Ovis aries: one gene and its partner. Each later gene encodes a partner of the first gene's protein in a complex. Links are inferred from orthologs where the notes say so. Each region holds a gene or a part of one and is shown in the gene's direction. Other genes may lie near its edges.

Evidence for each region.
Region 2: MED18 (region 1) and MED31 share a complex: the UniProt entries of both Homo sapiens proteins name them as parts of the mediator complex. The link is inferred for Ovis aries from reciprocal best matches to the Homo sapiens genes MED18 and MED31.

The regions. Positions count from the first base shown.
Region 1 is NC_056055.1:238,800,411-238,811,092, reverse strand, and holds MED18 (mediator of RNA polymerase II transcription subunit 18), read left to right. Parts: upstream 1-4,532; 5' UTR 4,533-4,680; exon of another isoform or gene 4,681-4,691; intron 4,692-5,466; exon of another isoform or gene 5,467-5,531; 5' UTR 5,532-5,537; coding exon 5,538-5,610; intron 5,611-8,576; coding exon 8,577-9,130; 3' UTR 9,131-10,585; downstream 10,586-10,682. UniProt on the Homo sapiens protein: Component of the Mediator complex, a coactivator involved in the regulated transcription of nearly all RNA polymerase II-dependent genes.
Region 2 is NC_056064.1:25,111,505-25,122,199, forward strand, and holds the start of MED31 (mediator of RNA polymerase II transcription subunit 31), read left to right. Parts: upstream 1-4,830; 5' UTR 4,831-4,897; coding exon 4,898-4,925; intron 4,926-5,776; coding exon 5,777-5,854; intron 5,855-6,326; coding exon 6,327-6,423; intron 6,424-10,695. Other genes in the region: C11H17orf100 (uncharacterized protein C17orf100 homolog), read right to left, coding at 4,069-4,446. UniProt on the Homo sapiens protein: Component of the Mediator complex, a coactivator involved in the regulated transcription of nearly all RNA polymerase II-dependent genes.

The DNA.
Region 1 (10,682 bases):
TGATTGGAGCTGAGTGAATGGAGCGGGGGCAGACACAGATGGAAATGGTCAGAGAGGTAACAGGTGATGAGGGCAGACCATGTAGGCATAGTGAGAACTTTGGTTTTTACTCTGAGAAGTGGCATGAACTTATAAGGATGGTGGAAAACAACTAGGCTGAAAAGAGCAGTTATACATTTCCCTGAGGACTGTGCACAGGAAGCAGCTTTTCCTAGGGAAATTAACTAGTGTGTAACACTAAGGTTGATATCCTAGCATTTCAGATAACAGAGAGATAGATCTGTCAATTTATATCAGGCTATTCTAGAAAATTGATGAAGGAACTGTGTATGGGTAAGTGTACCCTGCAATCCATGTTGATGGTCTGCTGTTCTGATGAAGACTGGCCAAGAGCTAGTCTTACTCCTTGGAGCCCAGTCTAGTGATGGGCTAGGAAGCATTAATGTATGACGTTTTCTCCTTCTTTGGTGCCATTAATTGCAATAATTGAGGAAATTCACTGTGGAGAAAGAGCCCATGAATTCAGAGGGAGGCATGCTAAAGAGATAGGTTTATAAGTGAAAGAACTGATTTTGAATCTGAGTCCTGCCATTTGCTGGTGATTCGGCTTTGGGCAAGTCACTTCACCTCTCTGAACCTCTTTTTCCTCCTCTGTAAAATGGAGATGGTAATAGCTACCTTTGGGAGGTATTTGACATAGTTACACACATACAGTGTAAAGTTGTATATAGCAACTGTTCAATAACTGGTAGTCATTTTGATGTGTTCAACAGTTTTGAACACCCACTACCTATAAAGTACACTGTTGTAGACAGAATGTTTGTGTCCCCCCTCACCAAATCCTTATGGTGAAACCCTCCTACCAATGAAATACTTCTGGTATTGGTGAAATACTACTGCCAATGTGACAGTATTAGGAGCAAGGGCCTTTGGGAAATGGCTAGGGTTAGAAGAGGTCAAGAGGAAAGGGGGCCCCTGTGAATGGGATTAGTGCCCTTAATGAGAGTTCAGAGGGAGTTTTCTCTGGTCTTCACCATGTGAGGCTACAAGGAGAGGATGGCAAGCTGCAACCTTAAGAGGGCGCTCATCAGAACCCAATCATGTTGGAACCCTAAGCTCAGATGTCCACCCTCCAGAACTATGTAAAATAAATTTCTGTTGTTCCTAAGCCATTTCATTTATATTTTGTTACAGCAGCCTGAGCTGTCTAAGACACAAACATATAAAAGGAAATGCATGATTCCTCCCTTCAAGATGTTTATAATCTACTTTGGGGGATGCTGCTGTTGCTAAGCCACTTTAGTCGTGTCCAACTCTGTGCGACCCCATGGACTGCAGCCCACCAGGCTCCTCCATCCATGGGATTTTCCAGGCAAGAGTACTGGAGTGGGGTGCCATTGCCTTCTCTGACTTTGGGGGATGAGACATGCACAAAATATATTCATTAAGATAGAATGTGTTTGCTCAAATGAGAGATATAAAGTGTAATAATAATAGCTATCATTTATTGATTGCTTACAATAAGCCAGGCTCTATGTTGTGTTTCATAAACATCTCATTTTATTTTTACAACCTCCCCCGCTTCAGAAAGTACTATTTTTAACTCTATTTTATAACAAAGGAAGCTGAGGCTCAGAGAGGGGAAGTGAATTGCCCAAGGTTGCACAGCTGGGTAGCGACAGAAGACAGAAGCAAGCTCCCTTCTAAGCGCCAGGCCTCACATCCTTATACAGAAACCCATCCCTATAACTCCTGAGCCTTTGTCCAAGTTTTACCATATTGTCCACCCGTTTCTTACTCATTCTTTTTTTTCAATGCCGCTTCTGAAATGCCAGGTAAAATTTGAGTAAATGTCATTAAAAATGTTTAAAAAGGGAATTCCCTGGCAGTCTGACGGTTAGCAGGGACTTCCCAGGTGGGCTCAGTGGTAAAGAATCTGCCTGCCAATATAAAAGACACAGGAGACAGGAGTTCAATTCCTGGGTCAGAAAGATCCCCTAGAGTAGGAAATGGCAACCCCCTCCAGTATTCTTGCCTGGAAAATTCCATGGATAGAGGAGCCTGGTGAGCTACAGCCTGTGTCTCACTGTGCCGCACTATTCTTTGAATCCAGAGTAGGCAAGACACGAGCTAAGAGGCTGGAAGAAGATGCAAGGAGCAGTAGGAACTGCAGACACCTTTATTCTCTCCTGGCTGACACAGCAGCCGTAGCGGCAGCCATAACATCACATAACCTAACCTAACCAGAAGGTGGCCATAACACAGCCATAATGTAACATAATGCAGTCTTTCTCCTGGCTGATCAGCAGCCGTAGTAACAGCCATAACGTCACATACCCATAACATAGCCCACCAGGGCTTTCCAGGTAAAGCTCACACATGCTTAGAGAAAAACAGAAGCCCTTGGCCAAGTGAGTACCTCCTGATGCCCATGAGCAGTGCTATAAATGAGCTCAGATGTTACATAATCATTATTTACAAAATGTGGGGCAAGAGAGAGAGGGCCTGACCATGCCATCTTGGCTAATTTACTCTTTCCCTACAAAAGGGCTTGAGGTAGATGGTGGTGTTTGGACTACCCTCGAAGCAAGCTGCTGCTTTCTGCTGTTTCAGTTCTTCCTCCAGCTGTGGATTCTGAATCTGGGCCTTCAGGCTTGGTTGTATTCTTCACCTTCTTCTCTGACAGATTAATGATGACAAATTAAGGCAATGGGTGCACCTTGAACCTGAAGGGCACCTCACCTGTCTGCAGTTCTTCTCTCTTCTTCCTGTAACTGGTGTTTTCTTCAGCGAATCAAAGGATAAAGGGTGTTTTTCCACAGTTCTCAGTACCTTATCCTCCAACTGGCCTTCTCAAATGAAGAATCTATGCCTTCGGTGTCTTTGTCATGATTTGACTGAAAATCAATAAAGTCTGTTGGGGCATCATAGATGTAAGTGTTTGCAATTTGAGACATTTTCCCTCACCCCTGGGGCAGAACAGCTAGTTTTTCCCACTGTTCTTGTCACTTTTGTAGGTTAATCTGTCAGTCCCTGGATCTACTACCTTTGAGCTTGACTCAAAGTTGACTCTTGCACTTTTCTTCTGCGGTCTTGAAGTCTGGAAAGTGCCTCTTATCCAGAACTGCCTGGAAGACCCACCACAGGACTCACTACCTTCGGAAGTGCCTGTAATCCAGCTGCAGTAAACCATCAAAAGTTCATAGGAGAGCCAGCTGGAAAAGCCGAATTCTTTTCCTTGGTTTCAGGTCTGATTAGACCCAGTTTCAGCCTTGTGACCTGTATTTAGGTTTGTGGTGTTTACAGCTCTCCAACATGTTTACTTCCAAACGCGACCATCCTTTCTTGATGGGAACAGTGGCCACCGAAGTCCAGTGTTTTATTCCATGAAACTGGTTCGGATCGGTTGAATTCGATCCAGTGAAACCAACAGACCCTCCCACCAGAGACAGATGAGATTCTGGCCTTTATTAAGCATACATGGTGAACACCTAGTCCTGGCTGTACTTGGCAACCCTCCTTCTGTTTTGATTCCCACTCCTCCCAACATGTGTGTACTTTTGACCTACTCTGAGCCGGAGTGAGTGAAGTTGCTCAGTCGTGTCCGACTCTTTGCGATCCCATAGACTGTAGCCTGCCAGGCTCCTCCGGCCATGGAATTTTCCAGGCAAAAGTACTGGAGTGGGTTGCCATTTCCTTCTCCAGGGGATCAGACGCTTTACCATCTGAGCCACCAGGGAAGCCCACTCTGAGCTCGACTCCTGATCTATTCGAGCGACCTTGTCCTGTCTACAAATGGACAGGCAATAAGATGACTTTAACCCAGAAGCAGCACCTCAGCAAGGGAAATGAAAACATCAGAAGCCAAACTGATGTAAGGTGTGGCGGCGGCGGTGGTTAGGAGACTGAGTCCCACTGAGGCGGGTTGCACGCCCCCCAGGAGGCGCAGGTGGGCCCCACCCCAGCCCCGCGGGGCCGCGCACGCCGGCCGGAGGGAGGGGCCAGATGAGGACCAAAAGTCTCCAAGCGCAGCTCTTCCTTAGGAGCGGGAGCTGTTCTGAGTGAACCTCCGGCCGTGCCCTCCTCCAGGGGATCCTCCCGACCCAGGGATCCAACCAGAGGCTTCTGTGTCTCCTGCAGGCAGATTCATTACCGCTGAGCAACTGGGAAGTTCTATCATCAGATACCCACCCAAAATAAGTTTCTGTTTTACGACAATCTCTCCTCTTTTTCTGAAGCTCTCTTCCCCAGGGTCTCTTTGTCCTTTCAGGTCCAAGAGATTTCCTGGACAAAAACACGTCCAGGTCTTCACAGTTGAAAAAAATATTTTCCTGGAAGATGGCGTATGACTGCAATGCCGCCTGAATCTCCCAAAGGACCCCTCCTAAGGAGGCCGCCATCTTCCGTGCAGCATCGGAGTTTGCGCATGCGCCCCTGCTTGCCGTACAGCGGAAGAGACTTTTTTTGTCCTCTCGGCACCCTTACGTCGCAGAGTGGCGGTGTCGAGGTTTGCGCGACGAAAGGTTTTTGTCAGACGTGGGAAGAGGCGAGAGAATTGTTGCACTGCCTAGGGGTTTTCAAGTTTAGGGCTGGGGGTGGTGATTGTTGCTCGAAAGCTCCGAGGTGCTCGGGTGAATACGGTCCCCCGCTTTCCTGGAAGAGGCTGGAACGCGCTTGGCGGTGTGTTTTTGGTATAAGTGGGCACGTTTTGATGCTGGGTTTAGGAGGCCCTAAAGCATCATTGGGGCTTCCCTAGTAAACTCAGACGGTAAAGCATCCGCCTGCAATGCAGGAGACCCGGGTTTGATCCCTGAATTGGGAAGATTCCCCCGGAGAAGGAAATGGCAACCCACTCCAGTATCCTTGCCTGGAAAGCCCCATGGATAGAGAAGCCAGGCCTAAGTCGATGGGGTCACAAAGAGTCGGACACGACTGAACGACTAACACAAAGCATCAGTGGAAAGAACTTCGTGCTTTCGCTTCAATCTCTTTAAAAGGTTTTTAGAGAGGTGGAACGCCTAGATTTTAGTCTGGTATAGGTTCTGCCACCCACCTATTGTGTGTCCTTAGGCTCCTCCCCAAGCCTCAACATCCTCATCTGTAAATTGAAGGGCATACAAGAGTCCTTAAGTCACTTTTCAGTCTTTAGTTGCAGGTCCATTATGTCATCTGAGCCACAAAGACTTGGGGGTTAATATCATGGCCTCATTTTAGAAGAAAGACATTGAGTCCCAGGGTGCACAGAAAACCATTGAAGGGTTTCAGACCTTGAGACTGAAAGATTATGCTGTAACTCCATGATCAGGCCTCCTTTGTGTATTTCTGGATCACCTGAAACTGGCCTATAGCAGTTACTAAAGTTTTGAATGGGTGGATGAATGAATTTTCATCTCCAGGCCAATGACCCAAGCAGATCTGGTCTCTCTCTGCCTCTCCCATGTATTAACAAGTATAACTCTTCCCCAGGTGTATCCTGTGTGTTACCTGACTGGGGATTCCAAATCTAGTTCTGTCGTTTTCAACTTAAACAGATAAACATGGAGGCACCTCCAGTCACCATGATGCCTGTCACCGGGGGCACCATTAACATGATGGAGTACCTGCTGCAGGGTAAGTGAACTAGGGAGCTTGAATTACCTGTTTTCCTGTTTTCTGTTCCGCTTTCCATGGAGATGAGAGGCTGTTATATAAAAGCTACCTGCATAATTTCTGGCACCCTTTTATTCCCCAATTTACTTTTAATTATGGTCACAAATACATAACATTAAGTTTACCATATTAAACATTTTTAAGCATACAGTTCAGTAATGTTAAGTATTTCACATTGTTGTATAGCTAATCTCTAGAACTTTTTCATCTTGCAGAATTGAAATTCTATTCCTGTTAAACACTAATTCCTCCTTTCCCCTTGCCGTAGGCCTTGGCAACAACCTTTCTACTTGATGTTTCTAATTTTGACAACGTTAGATAACCTCATAGGAGTGGAAGCATTCAGTATGTGTCTTTTTATGACTGGCTTATTTCACTTAGTATAATATCCTCAACATTAACCCTTTCGCATGTAAGAGAATCTCCTTTTAAAAATCTGAATAATGTTCCACTGTATGTACATACCATATTTTCTTTATTCGTTTGTCTGTCAGACATTTGGATTGCTTCTACCCAAATTGTTATCATAGATAATACTCAGTGAACATGAGTGTGCACATACCTCTTCAAGATCCTGCTTTGGATTCTTTAGGAGTGAATGCCCAGAAGTGAGATTAATAGATCATATGGTAATGTTATGATACTGTTATTAGTTCCATCTTCTAGATCAGGAAATAGAAGTGAAGTAACTTTCCCAGATGAGAAAGCTCAAGACCAGGGAGGGTTATGATTTTCTGGAGGTCATTTAATCTTTAGTGGAAGAATTTAGACTTTAATTCAGATCATCCGTTTAGTAACTTACAATGGACAAAATAAAATTGTTAATTGCACTCCTCAATCTGCCTCTACTTCAGCCTTTCCCATCTCAGTAAGTGCCGCTGTCAGTCATCAGTTGCTTAAGCCATGCATTCAGGAATCAATCTCAGAGAAAAGAAAATAGAGTCTATGGGGTTGCACAGAGTCGGGCACAACTGAAGCGACTTAGCAGCAGCAGCAGCATGGCATGCAGGATCTTAGCTCCTGAACCAGGGATGAAACCTGGGTCCCCTGCATTGGGAGCACCAAGTCCTAACCACTGGATGACCAGGGAATTCCTGTGAACAGTCAGCCTAGATTTCTAGATCTAGTCATCTAGATGTCTGTTTCTGACCTTTTGCCATATTTGCTCTATCTTTTTCCTTTTGCCGTTTTTGAAGACAGATTCAGATCTCGTAACATTTTACCCCCAAACACTTTCAGTATTCATCTCTAAAAAAGCAAGCGTATTTTCCTTAATAACCCCAATACTATCATTATTACCTGAAAGAGTCATAGTATATTTCTGATATCATCTAATATATAATTCATATTCAGAAGTTTCCTCCATCTTGTGTTTTGATCCAGGGCATAATATCATCTCATGCATTACATATGAAAACCGTGTCTCTTAAGCCTTTTTTAACTTGGACCCGCCTCCCCTCATTGCCACTTTTTTTCATGTGACCCTGTCTGGTTGAAGCATCCATACCAATTTTCCTAGAATGATCTTTTTAAAATGTAAATCCAGTCATATCTTTCCTTGTTGCATGGAGAATAAAGTGTGGAGCTAATAACTGCCCAGTGGCCGTACAATAAAATACAGCCTTTAGCATGGGCGACACATAAGTCCTGCCTGCTTTGGCCCATCCCAAATGCTCATTTCATGATCATCTTCCATCTTGCTTACCATACTTCAGCCACACTTTCATTTCTTTGGATTCCCCAAGCTCTTTGCTACCTCTGATCCCCCGGCGTCTATACTTTGTTCCAGCCCTTCACATAGCCATCTCATATTTATTCCTCAGGCCTCAACTCAGTTGTCATTCCCTTAGAGATCTTCTCTGACTATTCCAAGCCCTCAAAGAGGTCTCCTCTTCTCCACCCATACTGGTTGCTCTCTATTCAACACCCCGTTTATCTCTTGTTTATTGGTTTACTTATTTTTTTCATTTCCCCCACTAAACTATAATCTCTGGGCAGGCCAGGCCCCCTACTTCTTAGCATGGTGCCATTCAGTAAGTGTAAGTGTATGAACCAGCACTTAACAAAGCTCCTTAAATGTTTGAAGAATGAAAAAACACATGGCTGACACTGTTCTGAATGTAGGACCTACTCCCTACTCTTGTGATCTTCTGTCCTTTGATAACTGGGACCCACTCTGTTGCTTTTCCAAAAATTTAGTCATTTGAATACCACTGCCAATATTTACTGTAGTTATAGTAGTATATTTTTATTTACTTTAACAGATTTAGTCAATAAAGGAATATGTTTCTCACATTGGAGTATCAGCAGTAGAGAAAGAAAAATTATTAAAAAGTCAATACACTGATATGTTAAAAGATGACTAAAGAGTTGAGGTGATAAGCTAAAGAAAAATAAAGCGGGAAAGTGAAAAGAGATTGCAGGGAAATACACTATTCTGTTGGAGAAGAAAATGGCCACCCACTCTAGTATTGCCTGCAAAATCCCATGGACAGAGGAACCTGGCAGGCTACAGTCCATGAGGTTGCAGAGTCAGACACGACTGAGCAACTAACACACACACATGCTGTTTTATTTAGTATTTTTTGTCTTATATAAAATAATATATATTATTTTATAATAGAATGGAATAAAATAATTATTCTAGGTAGATACTGTTGCCTGTTAAACCCCAAAGTCTGCTAGAGGTTAGCATTACTAAACAAGGCCTAACTTCTAGTACCAAATAAAACAGTACAAAAAATTGAAAAGAGATTAACATAATATCTTGGCAGTGTAACCTCCTACAATCTCATATATTGGGCCTATGGTTTACAAAACACTGCACTAAATTATTTTGGTTTTTCATTTAAGTTTTTTCAGTCTCTTGCTAATTCCATTACCCAAAATGAAAGATGGAACTCAATAGTGCTTTTTTCCTTCTTCAGGAAGTGTTTTAGATCACAGCTTGGAAAGCCTCATCCACCGCCTTCGTGGTTTATGTGACAACATGGAACCCGAGACTTTTGTTGACCACGAGATGGTATTCCTCCTTAAGGGCCAGCAGGCCAGTCCATTTGTTCTAAGGGCCCGACGCTCTCTGGATAGGGCAGGGGCACCCTGGCATCTTCGCTACCTGGGACAGCCAGAGATGGGAGACAAGAACCGCCATGCCCTGGTGCGTAACTGCGTAGACATTGCAACATCTGAGAACCTCACTGACTTCCTCATGGAAATGGGCTTTCGCATGGACCACGAGTTTGTTGCCAGGGGACACTTGTTCCGGAAAGGCATCATGAAGATCGTGGTATACAAGATCTTCCGCATCCTGGTGCCAGGGAACACAGACAACACTGAGGCCTTGTCACTGTCCTATCTCGTGGAACTAAGCGTTGTTGCACCAGCTGGGCAGGACATGGTCTCTGATGACATGAGGAACTTTGCAGAGCAGCTGAAACCTCTGGTTCACCTCGAGAAAATAGACCCCAAAAGGCTCATGTGACTAAGACAATCTGTCCACTGGGGCTTGCCCTCAGCTGTTACAAGAAAAGATGTTATAATTGCCCCATTTCACCACTGCCAGCCATGCATTCTTCCCTCAGGATGGAAGCCAGTGAGAACTCAGTTGTTTTTGCACTGATTTCCTCATATGGCCAGTTCACTTTTGTGACAGGCTTTCTATCTTATTTTTTTTTTTTTTTTTCTATCTTAAATGCTAAGAATAACGTGGAGAATCTAGATCATCCTTCTGCAGGAAGAAGGGAAATTGGACTAAAGTAGCTTTCGGGAAGAAAACTTTTTATGTATAAGGTTTGTAAAATAGAGACCAAGTTTGTATTGTGCAGTAATAAAAGCGTAAGGAGAAATGTCTCCCATTCTGATTCTTTACCGTACTACCCTACTAATTTGGGATGGACTCATCACCAACTGGAGCAAATATATGACAGTGTTTTGTTTAAATTTGGTAGATGATAGATAGCTTTTACCTTTTGTACGGGTAGCACGTGTTTGTTGTGGAAAAAAATTAAATACAGACACAAATAAGGAAGATAATGTATAATCCTGTTATTTAAAGAGATGTGCTGGGTTTTGTGTGTTTTTTGGTGTGCCTCATGCATGGCATGCAGGAACTTAGTTCCCAAACCAGGGCTCAAACCCACGCCCCCTGTAGTAGAAGTTTCCTAACCACTGGACCACCAGGGACGTCCTGAGATGTACAGTTTCTATTCTGTTTTATATCCTTCTAGGCTTTATTTTTAGAAATGTATATATATGAGGTATATTTTAGAAAAATATTGTGTATGTACTGGCTTATAATCATTTTTTAAAATCAGTAACATTTTTCTAGGATATTAGGCTACAGTGTTCCTCTGCTTAAAAAAAAAGTTTCTATTGAGTTCTTATTATGTGTCAGTGTTATCCTAAGTGCTTTAGGTATGTTTATTAACTTAACCCTCACAACGACCCGTATTTTGCAGGGAAACTGAGGTGCAAAAAGAGTAATTAGCTTTCCCTGAGCAATTCAGCTACAAATGAGCAGAGCTTGTATTTAAATGTTGATAATTGTAATCATTATTTGTATCCTATCATTAGGATTTTCCAAAACGTAACTGTTTCCTCTACTTTGGGATTTTTAGTTAGATCCCATGTTTTTGCTTTTATAAACTATCCGGTGTCGCTAGTACTTTTAATTAGATATTTTTTGTCATGTGTGATCATTCTTCAGGATAAATTCTAGGGAACTGCTGGGTCAGAGAGTATGCACTGTTTTAAGTCTTCTGCCATGTATTGCCAAATGCCTTCCAGAAATGTTTCAATTTTCACTCCTACCAGTTGTAAATGAGGTTCCAACACAGCTGCCAAAACTGGGTGTGACCACGATAACACATTTTTCCCGTTTGATGTGAAGTGGTGACTGGTTTTAATTAAAAAAAAAAAAAAAACCACGATCAGTGAGACTTAAATTTTTGTGTTTATTGGACATTTTTTCCTTACATGAATTTCCTTTTCTTCATTGTTCATCTTTATTTGTGAAGAGCTTTTATATAATTTTC
Region 2 (10,695 bases), on another chromosome or scaffold:
CTAAGAATCAGCCTTTGCTGCCGTGCTGTGTGGGGATGGTCTGACCTCTGCTGTCCACGCTCTGTCATGGCACAAACTCAGACACAGTCATGGACTCAGAGGATGCATTTTCTTTTTTCAGCTTTCTGGATAGTGACTCCCAATATTAACATATTTTACACTGTGACAGGGCTTCCCAGGCGGTGCTGTGACAGGGCTTCCCAGGCGGTGCTAGTGGTAAAGAACGCTCCTGCCAATGCAGGAGATGTTGAGAGATCCGGGTTCAATCCCTGGGTTGGGAAGATTCCCTGGAGGAGGACGTGGCAACCCACTCCGGTGTTCTTGCCTGGAGAATCCCATGGACAGAGTCCATAGGGTTGCAAAGAGTTGGACACGACTGAGGAAACTTAGCACACTGTGACAATACAGAAAAATTTCACAAAGCAATTCTTACCTTTACTATGTGTGAACACTCTAATATATTCTATATTTTCTATTTTTTATTTCATGAGTAAGAAAAATGCTGATTACAATACAATAAATAGACCTTACAGTCCCAGGCTTTCTCATGCATCTAAAAAACCATTCACTTAGGGAACTAAATTAGTGCCTCATTTCCCAAACACTAATCAGTGCGTTCCATATCACTTTCAAATTTTTGGCCACACTGAAGGCCGACTTTTTATGGAATCTATTTTTTCTTTAAATCAATTCATTTAAACATTTAAAAATGCCCACTATAGCTGAAGTAAAATATTGGTGAAATAACAAGTATGAATGTTAGTTATATACATATTATATATATGTATATAATACATTTATATTTATATTATATATAATTCACTATTAAAATTCAACATTCAAAAAATGAAGATCATGGCATCTGGTCCTATCACTTCATGGCAAATGGATGGGGAAAAGAGTAGAAACAGTGACAGATTTTATTTTGTTGGGCTCCAAAATCACTGTGGACAGCAACTGCAGCCACAAAATTAAAAGACACTTGCTCTTTGGAAGAAAAGCTATGACAAACCTAGACAGAGCATTAAAAAGCAGAAACATCACTTTGCCGACAAAGGTCCAGCTGGCTTTTCCAGTAGTCGTGTATGGATGTGAAAGTTGGACCATAAGGAAGGCTGAGCGCCAAAGAATTGATGCTTTTGAACTGTGGTGTTGGAGAAGACTCTTGAGAGTCCCTTGGACAGCATGGAGATCAAACCAGTCAATCCTAAAGGAAATCAATCCTAAATATTCATTGGAAGGACTGATGCTGAAGCTGAAGCTCCAATACTTTGACCACCTGATGCAAAGAGCCAACTCTCATTGGAAAAGACCCTGATGCTGGGAAAGACTGAGAGCAGGAGGAGAGGGAGCGACAGAGGATGAGATGGTTATATAGCATCACCGAGTCAATGGAGTTTGAGCAAGCTCTGGGAGATGGTGAAGGACAAGGAAGCCTGGCGGGCTGCAGTCCATGGGGTTGCAAAGAGACACAATTTAGTGACTGAACAAAAGAAAAACACTGAAATAAATATTTAATTATCAAAATAAAAAATGTTCTCATACCTCCTAAAATCACCCTGAAGCAGTGTCTGCATTCCTCACTTTGGGAATCACATATTCAAAGATTGGTCCAAACATCTCATTTTCAGTGGGGGCAGTGAGGCCCAGAGGGATGAATTCACTTATTGGAGGTCTAGTTTCTCAGTCAGTGGGAAGGTCAGTCTGGTCAGAGGAGAGAAAAGAGAAAATAAAGGAATCAGTGTTATCAGTCTTAACATTTTTGGAGAGAGGCCCTACCCTGTCATCTCATCGGAGCCCAGATATCAGTGTGGAGCTACCTTGGCAGAGCCATTTTAAGCCTGGATCTTAGATATTCTTATCTTTGGAGGTCCTGATCCATATCACATCATATATATTACAAGGTGTGCCCATTGACCCTTATTAATTTCAATTTTGCTATTTTCTTCTACTTGTATTTTGAAGCCAATGGATTTTTGAAGCTTCAACAATTTTTGGCAGGTCCTAGGATTACAGCCTGCCATGCCTAATGGATAAAGTGGCCCTGGGACTGGTAAAGAATCTCATCAGAGACACACTAAAGAACGATTTAATTATTCTAGCCCTTTCTCCTGGTATCTTTAACGGGTAATGTGGACAGGCCACTGACAACTAAATGGATGAGTTTCCAGTGGTGAAATCTTTGCTGTTCTGCGAGTCCAGTGGGGGCAGTGCTGCTGCAGGTAGGCTAAGTGCCATGTGACTGGTAAGGTGCTCCCACTCTGTGCCTCAGTCTCCTTATTAAGTAAAACAAACGGATTAGATTCCAAGAGAGTCAATCATCTAGAAATCAAGTTCTTGGCTTCTTCACAGTAACCTTTCAACCAGTTTTCCACGTACGACTAATAAGCAGATCAGGAGCATTTATTGCAGAAAGGTCTAGAAGGGTATACACCAAGTTACTGACACGAATTATTACCAGAGGAGGAAAATGGAAAGCAATGATGACAGATTCTTTACACATCTTGAATTGTTTCACTTGTTATATTAAGCACATTATCACTTTGTAATGAAAACATTAATAAAGAACAGTTAAAGAAAAGCAACCACTTTGCTCATTTAAAAACACTGATAAAGAGTGTGTATCTAATGCACATGGTCTGTTACTTTAAAAAGAGTGAGTAAGTTCACCAGAAACTAAAATTCCAAAGTCTAAATATTAATCTATACCAGACGTTTGATGAAGCAGAAGCATCAGGGGTGCCTCTGGGGTTTTATGACATTCCCCTGGCCTGAATCCTATTCTGGTGCACTCCCCTGTAATTAAATGAATTAATGTGAGTAATGAATCACAGTGCCTGCCAACAGCAAGTACTCTATCTCCCAATGAGGTCCCATAGAATCCAGGTCTTTACATACTGCTAAATGGGATAAATAGCACATATTGTTGAAAGCAGGGATGTCCCTTCATCCCCAGTCAAAGCCGCCTTGAATGGCTCCACTTACTAATCTGTTAAGATTTGCTGATCTAGGGGGTAGCCCTGACCTGCCTTCAGTTGTTGCTAACCAGGTTAACTTAGAAAAACTAGGTACTGGTCAGCATATTCTCTATCACATCACCTGTTTGTTTCCTTCGAAGTGCTCATCACAACAGAAAACTCTTGTTTGTCATCTGTTGTCTGCCTTTTCACTAGAGTATAAGCTCCCCAAGGGCTAGGACCTTGTTTGCCTTGTTCACTGCTATAGCCCAAATGCACGCCCGGCACCGAGTAGATGCTCAATAAATATTCCTCCCCTGCACCTCCTCAAATCACAGGTCAGGTTTCCTTTCCAAGATTATTCTTGATTGTTGAGGTCGACCTTCACTTTTCCCTTTGAACTACATGTGACCTCTATTAAAACCTGTGTGTATGGCTACCAGGCACAAAGACTTGGCATAAAGAGAAATATATTGAAACATAAACACAAGCCAAGTAATTAATTAAGGAAAGTCTGTTGCTTGCAACTCAGGTTTGCAGCTGGCATATAATTCCACTGATTATGATTTGTTTGCTCCTTGTCCCTAAGTTTGAAGCAGCCAAGGTCATTCAGTGAGTGAGTGATAGTCGCTGAGTTGTGTCGAGGTCTCTGTGACCCCATGGATTGTAGCCTGCCAGGCTCCTCTGTCCATGGAATTCTCCAGGCAAGAATACTGGAGTGGGTAGCCATTTCCTTCTCCAGGTTTGAAGCAGCCAAGGTTATTTAAAGGGCCCCCAATTCAAAACTCACCTGCCTTGGAGGCTCAAACAGTCTCTTTTCCATCAGCTTAACACATACAGTATCTAGAGCCTAAAAACTTTTTATGCTGGCTTCAAATTAAAATAGTTCACTGGGTCAAAGGCTTGCCTTTGGTCCAAGGTGCAGGAGGGTCAATGAATGTTGGCTAAATCCCGAAACCGCAGCTTGGCTCTTTCTTAAATTGATCTGTGGACTGTTTCCAGGAAACCAAAGATGATCGGTCCACCTGGCAGCAGGCAGGCTGCGAACTGGAGGCGATTCTGCCCTGGCCAAGGGCCATGGCCCCCTCGTGGCCCCGAGGAAGGCAGCATTTCATCGGGCCTTTTGGATGTTATGGCGGGCGGCTGGCTTCTCCCGCCGCGGCGTGCTCTCCACGCGGTGCACAGACGTCTCCACCCGCAGGGACGAGGCCCTGACGTGGCGGGAAGCCGTCTCTGTGAGCTGCGAGGCGGTTTCCACGTGCTGGGAGGACACCTCGAGGACTCGAGGGAGCCGCTTCCCAGAGGAGGAGACGGAGGGTCCCTCGCTGCTGCGCTGGGTGGTCTCCACCTGCCGGGAAGATGTCCTCACGTGACGGTAGGATGTCTCCACGCGGTGGGACGAGGTCTCCACGCTGACCGTCGCCGTCTCCTCGGAGCGGATGGATTCCGCCCGGGCCGGAGAGGGCTTTCCCCGAAGGGGTGAGGCCATCTTATGGGGGTAACAGGGCCAAGCTGACCTTTGGAGGCCCCACAGCCCCACAATCCCCGAAGGATTATTTTATACGGTGAGGAGCGACGTCACATGCCATTGTGATGCAGGCAGAGCGGTGGTCGAGGGTCCCGCGAACCACGTGGAGGCACCGTGATCTTGGGGCGGGGAGGCCTAAGATTCCTTGGGAACGCTGGGTTCGTCCCCTCGAGAGCGCCGTCTGCCCCCGCATCGCCCCTTAGCCTGTCAAGAACCTGTCCGGGTGGAGGCGGGGTTGGGGCGGGGCGGGCCCTGGATGGGCGGAGCCACCCGCCCCCTTGCGAAGCTGTGCCCACCCCCGCATCCCACACTGCCCCGCGGCAGGAAGGGGACGCTGCGACTTCCGGACCTTCCCTGTTTCTCCGATCCTGGCTGTGTGGGGTTGCTGGGGACTTAAGAGTGTCTGCTGGTGATGGCCGCGGCCGTCGCTATGGAGACAGGTGAGTAGCGCTCTGAGCCTCGCGTTTTGTCAAATAGAAACTGTCCCGGGTCCAGACACCTGCTTCCCGGGATTTTTTGAGAATCCAGGCCCAACTCCCGGCAGAGTGAGTGATCGGAGCGGGAGGCACCAGGGTTTTTTTTTAGCGACTGGAAGGGCGAAGGTAATTTGGCCTTTTCAGAGTTTGTTTTGTTGGCCGATCCTTTCTCCCCGTTAGTTATTCAAACAGTGGCCCCACCGGCTTCCAGAAGACTAAAGGAGAGATTTTGGATCATAAACCGCTTCCTCGAGTTGTTTTTTTGCATCTCAGATGAGCTTGCCTAAGTTTAAAATATCGTCAGCGAACTCTTGTATTACTGTGCCACTAACGGGTCTCACGTAAGCACGCGTTTCTTGATACTCACCAGGGTCTCTTTCATCTTGCATTCTGAACGTCTCTTGATGGATTTAGCATTTTGTTTTTGCTAAGCTTGATCACTTAACAGCTTGTAACGCACTATCAAAATAAGGCAAGGCACATTGCTGCAGCTTATCCTAGTGATCACTGTGAAGTCCCAACATGGTGGCTCACGAGTGATTAATGTTCTGCTCCATGTATAATCTTGTTTTCTTTGATAATTTAACTTTAGATAAACCTTTTTTTTTTTTTTTTTTTCTTAATCAGGGCTTTGCTTTCCTTAGACTTATAAGGAAGGTGTTTCTCCTCCTACACCCAGTTTAGGAAAACCTTTGCATGCTCTTCTTTATGTAACTCAGCATTAGTCAGATGTCTGTACTGCTGTTTTCTGTCTAAAAATCAGTATTATATACAGTGACATTTATTTTGGATGATTTTGCTATCTTCTCTCCTAGATGATGCTGGAAATCGACTGCGGTTTCAGTTGGAGTTGGAATTTGTACAGTGTTTAGCCAACCCAAATTACCTTAACTGTAAGTTGTTGAGCACCTCATTGAAGTGAATAGCTAGTTACGATTTCTGATAGAAGAGTCAAAATTCATAGTACTGTCAGCCCTTTGTATCCTTGGAGGCAACCTCAGTTGGTGGAATCTGCCCATCCTGAGGGTGACAATACTGTCATGGCACTATGTTGTTTTGTACAGGAGATTGGAGCACCTGTGGATTCTCGTGTCTGCGGGGCCTCTTAGAACCAACTCCCTGTGGATTCTGAGAGATGACTTTAGTATCTAGTTTTGTACATTCTTAACTGAATGGAATGACTGTTGCACTTATACTGGTATATATAATTGAGCAAACTGGGACTTCTGTTTTGAATTCAGTGTGTGTTGGTGGTGGGAATGTTATGTAAGTAAATTCTTTACGATTATGTTAGTCACAGATCAGTAGTCCAAGGACTGGTGTGCTCTACAGATGTATTTTTTTTTTTTTTTTTATGCCTTTCAGTTCTTGCCCAAAGAGGTTACTTCAAAGATAAAGCTTTTGTTAATTATCTTAAGTACTTGCTTTACTGGAAAGAACCAGAATATGCCAAGTATCTAAAGTAAGTTTAATTTTTATAGTCCTAAACATGTGTGTACTTTTATTATATTCCAAAGCACTGATATTTAATAGACTTCTTACTTTCACGTTGGAAAAAATACCTGTTGAATCTCTGCTCTCCTTTCAGTTGCCTCCATTTTAATACGAGACACATCATCTCTAACTTAACTGGGATTACTGCAGTATCTACTCATTGGTATTCCTCCTTTCTCCCTGCCCTGCCAAACAAAGAAGAAACATTTTCTGCACAGAAGCCAACTTGGTCTCTTAAAAATAGAAATTACATTCCATTAGAACCCTTTGGTCGCTTCCCATTGCATGCAGAAGAAAATCTCGTCTCTTAGCCCTGTGTGATCTGTCCCTGTCTTCTCTGACCTTATCTTGTACCACTCCCTGCATCTCACTGAGTTTCTGACCTCAAGGAACCCGCAGTCCATATATGCAATGACAGCCATAGCCTGAAAATGAAAAAACATAGAAAGAGGTACTTACTTGTAAGCAAGGGTTTCTGGAGAAGGTAACCGTACCCGAGTCTTAATAGCTGCTTTCTTATTTTATATATCTTACATAATAAATACATGAATTTATCATTCAGGTTGTGCAATAGATACTCTCGTTTTAAGGCTTACTGAAATGCAAGGAGCATATTGTAATCACAAACATTTCTTTTTAATGATAAAAAATAAGCCTTGAACACCCACCTCTGCTTTGTCTTAAATAGGTAGTCAAAAAGCAGTGGTGAAATGTCTAGCCTTTTTTTTCCCCTAAACAGACACAAGTTTGAGAGGAGAATGTTTAAGACTTGTACTTTGGCCAAGCCACTTTTCTCTGTCTAATAACAGCTGCTTTATGAAGTCCACATCCTCCTTTTGCCTGTGGGACCCTTTCCACCCTTACTGGCCCTTTATAAAAGAACCACTTATTCATTTAATAATCCAGAGAAAATATATATATTTTTTTACTAGATTGCAACATGTTATATGTATGTATTATAGACTTAGAGACTCAGTGTTGGACACTGAGCCCTGGACACCGTCAGGTTCAATTTTACCCACAACATTGCTGAGATGGTCATCTGTATACTGGCTGGAGGTTTCTAGTGAACACATACTAATTCAGGGGCAGCCAATTCCGTTGTTAGCTAGATTCCAGAAAGTTCCTCCTTGTATTATTGTGTCCGACTCTTTGCAACCCCATAGATTGTAGCCTACCGGGCTCCTCTGTCCATGGGATTTTCCAGGCAATAGTACTGGAGTCGATTGCCATTTCCTTCTCCAGGGGATATTCCCAACCCAGGGCTTAAACCCAGGTCTCCCACATTGTAGACAGATGCTTTACCGTCTGAGCCACCAGGGAAGTCCTATAACATGATATACCTCTATGTAACTTTAACTCATGTTTTGAGTTTTGACCCTGAATTAATCCAGAACCAATCTATGCCTTCTTGAAGAATAACCATTCAGATATTTAAATTTAAGAGAGGCTGCAAATTAACTCCCATTTCATTTCTACACAAGGTTTTTGTTTAGTAGTTGTCAAAATTTAAAGATTGGAGAGTTTCATATTTTGATTCAGATTTCTAAGCTTCTCTTTAAAAATTTGGAAGATCTGATAACCCCAGGTCTTTGTTTTCCCAGGTCAGTCATTGGCTAGAGCAGAGCAGCAGCTACCTCTTCTAGACAATGTCCTCCACCATTTCACTAATAGCAACGACCTGCAGCTGTAATTTATCTCTTACATTCAAGGATTCACAATGTTGATTTTCTGGTGGCTCAGACTGTAAAGCAATGGCACCCCACTCTAGTACTCCTGCCTGGGAAATCCCATGGGCGGAGGAGCCTGGTGGTAGGCTGCAGTCCATGGGGTCGGAAGAGTTGGACACGACTGAGCGACTTCACTTTTACTTTTCACTTTCATGCATTGGAGAAGGAAATGGCAACCCACTCCAGTGTTCTTGCCTGGAGAATCCCAGGGACGGGGGAGCCTGGTGGGCTACCATCTACGGGGTCGCACAGAGTCGGACACAACTGAAGTGACTTAGCAGTAGCAGCAGACTGTAAAGCATCTGTCTACAATGCGGGAGACCTGGGTTCAGTGCCTGGGTTGGGAAGATTCCCTGGAGAAGGAAATGGCAATCCACTCTAGTACTCTGGCCTGGAAAATCCCATGGACAGAGGAGCCTGGTAGGCTACAGTCCATGGGATCGCAAAGAGTTGGACACGACTGAGCGACTTCACTTTCACTTATGTCAGCTAAAATCCTTCAGTTCTCATTTTCATCAGTGCTGTTAGTTGAGTTCTCCATTTATTTCTCATTTGTTTTTTAAAAAAATCTAAATGCAAACTTTGCTTTTGTATCTCTATTTCGTCTTGTTGGTTGATGCTATAATTGTCACCTATTAAAATATTTATAGTCCCTTATTTTGAGCATGGTCTTCTCCAAGTCTTATAAGTGATCACTGTATGTCTAAGTTCCAGTTATTGAGAAGTAGCATTTGCTACTTGAAGACAGTCCTCTTGGTTATCACATTAATTTATTTTACGGAGGAAGAAACTAATCCTTAAGAAAGGTTAAGTACCCTGTTCAAGGACACCCAGCTGTAGAATGGGCAGAGCTGGTTTCAAACCTAGGTCTTTGTTGATAGAACATCCTCATGAGAAGGAAATAGCTAGAGTAGATGTGAGTAGGGCTTTCCAGGCTTCAGTTCAGTTCAGTCGCTCAGTCGTGTCCGACTCTTTGTGACCCCATGAATCGCAGCACGCCAGGCCTCTCTGTCCATCACCAACTCCTGGAGTTCAATCAGACTCACGTCCATCAAGTCAGTGATGGCATCCAGCTGTCTCATCGTCTATTGTCCCCTTCTCCTCCTGCCCCCAATCCCTCTCAGCATCAGAGTCTTTTCCATTGAGTCAACTCTTCGCATGAGGTGGCCAAAGCTGCTGACAATTACAAGCAACTATGTATCTCTGGAGTATAGGAAGCAAATGTTCAATAAGGAAACATTGTGTTGGGGCCTGCTGTTGTCCTCAGACCAGCAGCATTGAATGCAGAGCTCAGGCTCCACTCCAGATTGATGACCTGGTTCAGCTGGTGGCTGCTAGTTTTCTCTGTATCAAATTACTTGTTCTTCGCTTTGTATTTAATGCCTATCTTGTGAGGGAATGCTTTGAGACGGTAAATATAGTGTTTCATATTTCAGTTTTTTACCTAACTTTGGCAATCTATGGAAAATACTTGCTTGAAAGCTTTTTCTGTGATTTTCTAATTCCATAATTCTTTATTCATTTGTTAGTTGAAATTCAGTTGTAAGGACAGAATATTTCCTTGTTCCTAATTTATTTATTCATTTTATAAAGTTACATCAGTATGGACTCCTGGATTCTTTATCTTATGGGTTATAATTATGTATCTTCTTGAACTAGTGATCCTGGATACAGCCAATGGGAACACCTTCAAACTGGCTCCTGTGTACTTTCAACAAATCCCTATATTTTTTGAGCATTTTTCTTTCTGCCACTATGTAATAGTCCAGGCTCATCTTTTACTTTCCCTGTGTTAGCCGTAGCATCAGCCACGTCTCCAACCAACCCTGGATAATACTATTTAAAATCCATGATCTGGGTACTCGGTGTGCTCATTGGTCCTGGAGTGTCATTGATTCTAGGCTCTCTCAACACATAAAGCTAGAAATGGGTCTGTGTGTATCTATTTCTATATCTGTGTGTGTGCGCACGTGTATAAAGCCATGAGTTCATCCTGATGTTTTCAGTTCCAACTTAATAACAGGATTCATTCTAGCCTTCCCCCTTCCTTATCTGAAACTACTTTTCTGAGAGCCAGAGGTTTGGCTTTCTGTTTATAGTGTATGTGCTCAACCTCTGAGTATATGTACATAATTTCAGAATTGTTATATCCCTGTGGGAAACAGGAATACAATATCTGCATAGTTTTTTCTGAAGTTGACTCACTTTTAAAAGCTGTCTTATCATAGTTTATGGAAAACCAATAGGTATTAAACACATAATTATGAAAATAAAGTGTTCCTATCCCTTACCTTGGAAATCACCGAAGAGAATAGTGTGATTTGCGCCCAGATGTTGACCAGTTATTGTGTTACCAGTTGACAGTAACGCTATTTACCAGTTACTGTGTGGTCTTCTGTAAATTATTTAATCTTTCCAAGCTTACATTTTCTCACATTTGAAAATTTTGCTGACTTTTGATGATTAGCTTTTCTGTATATGCAGGAAAAAAAAAGTATTACCAAAGTATA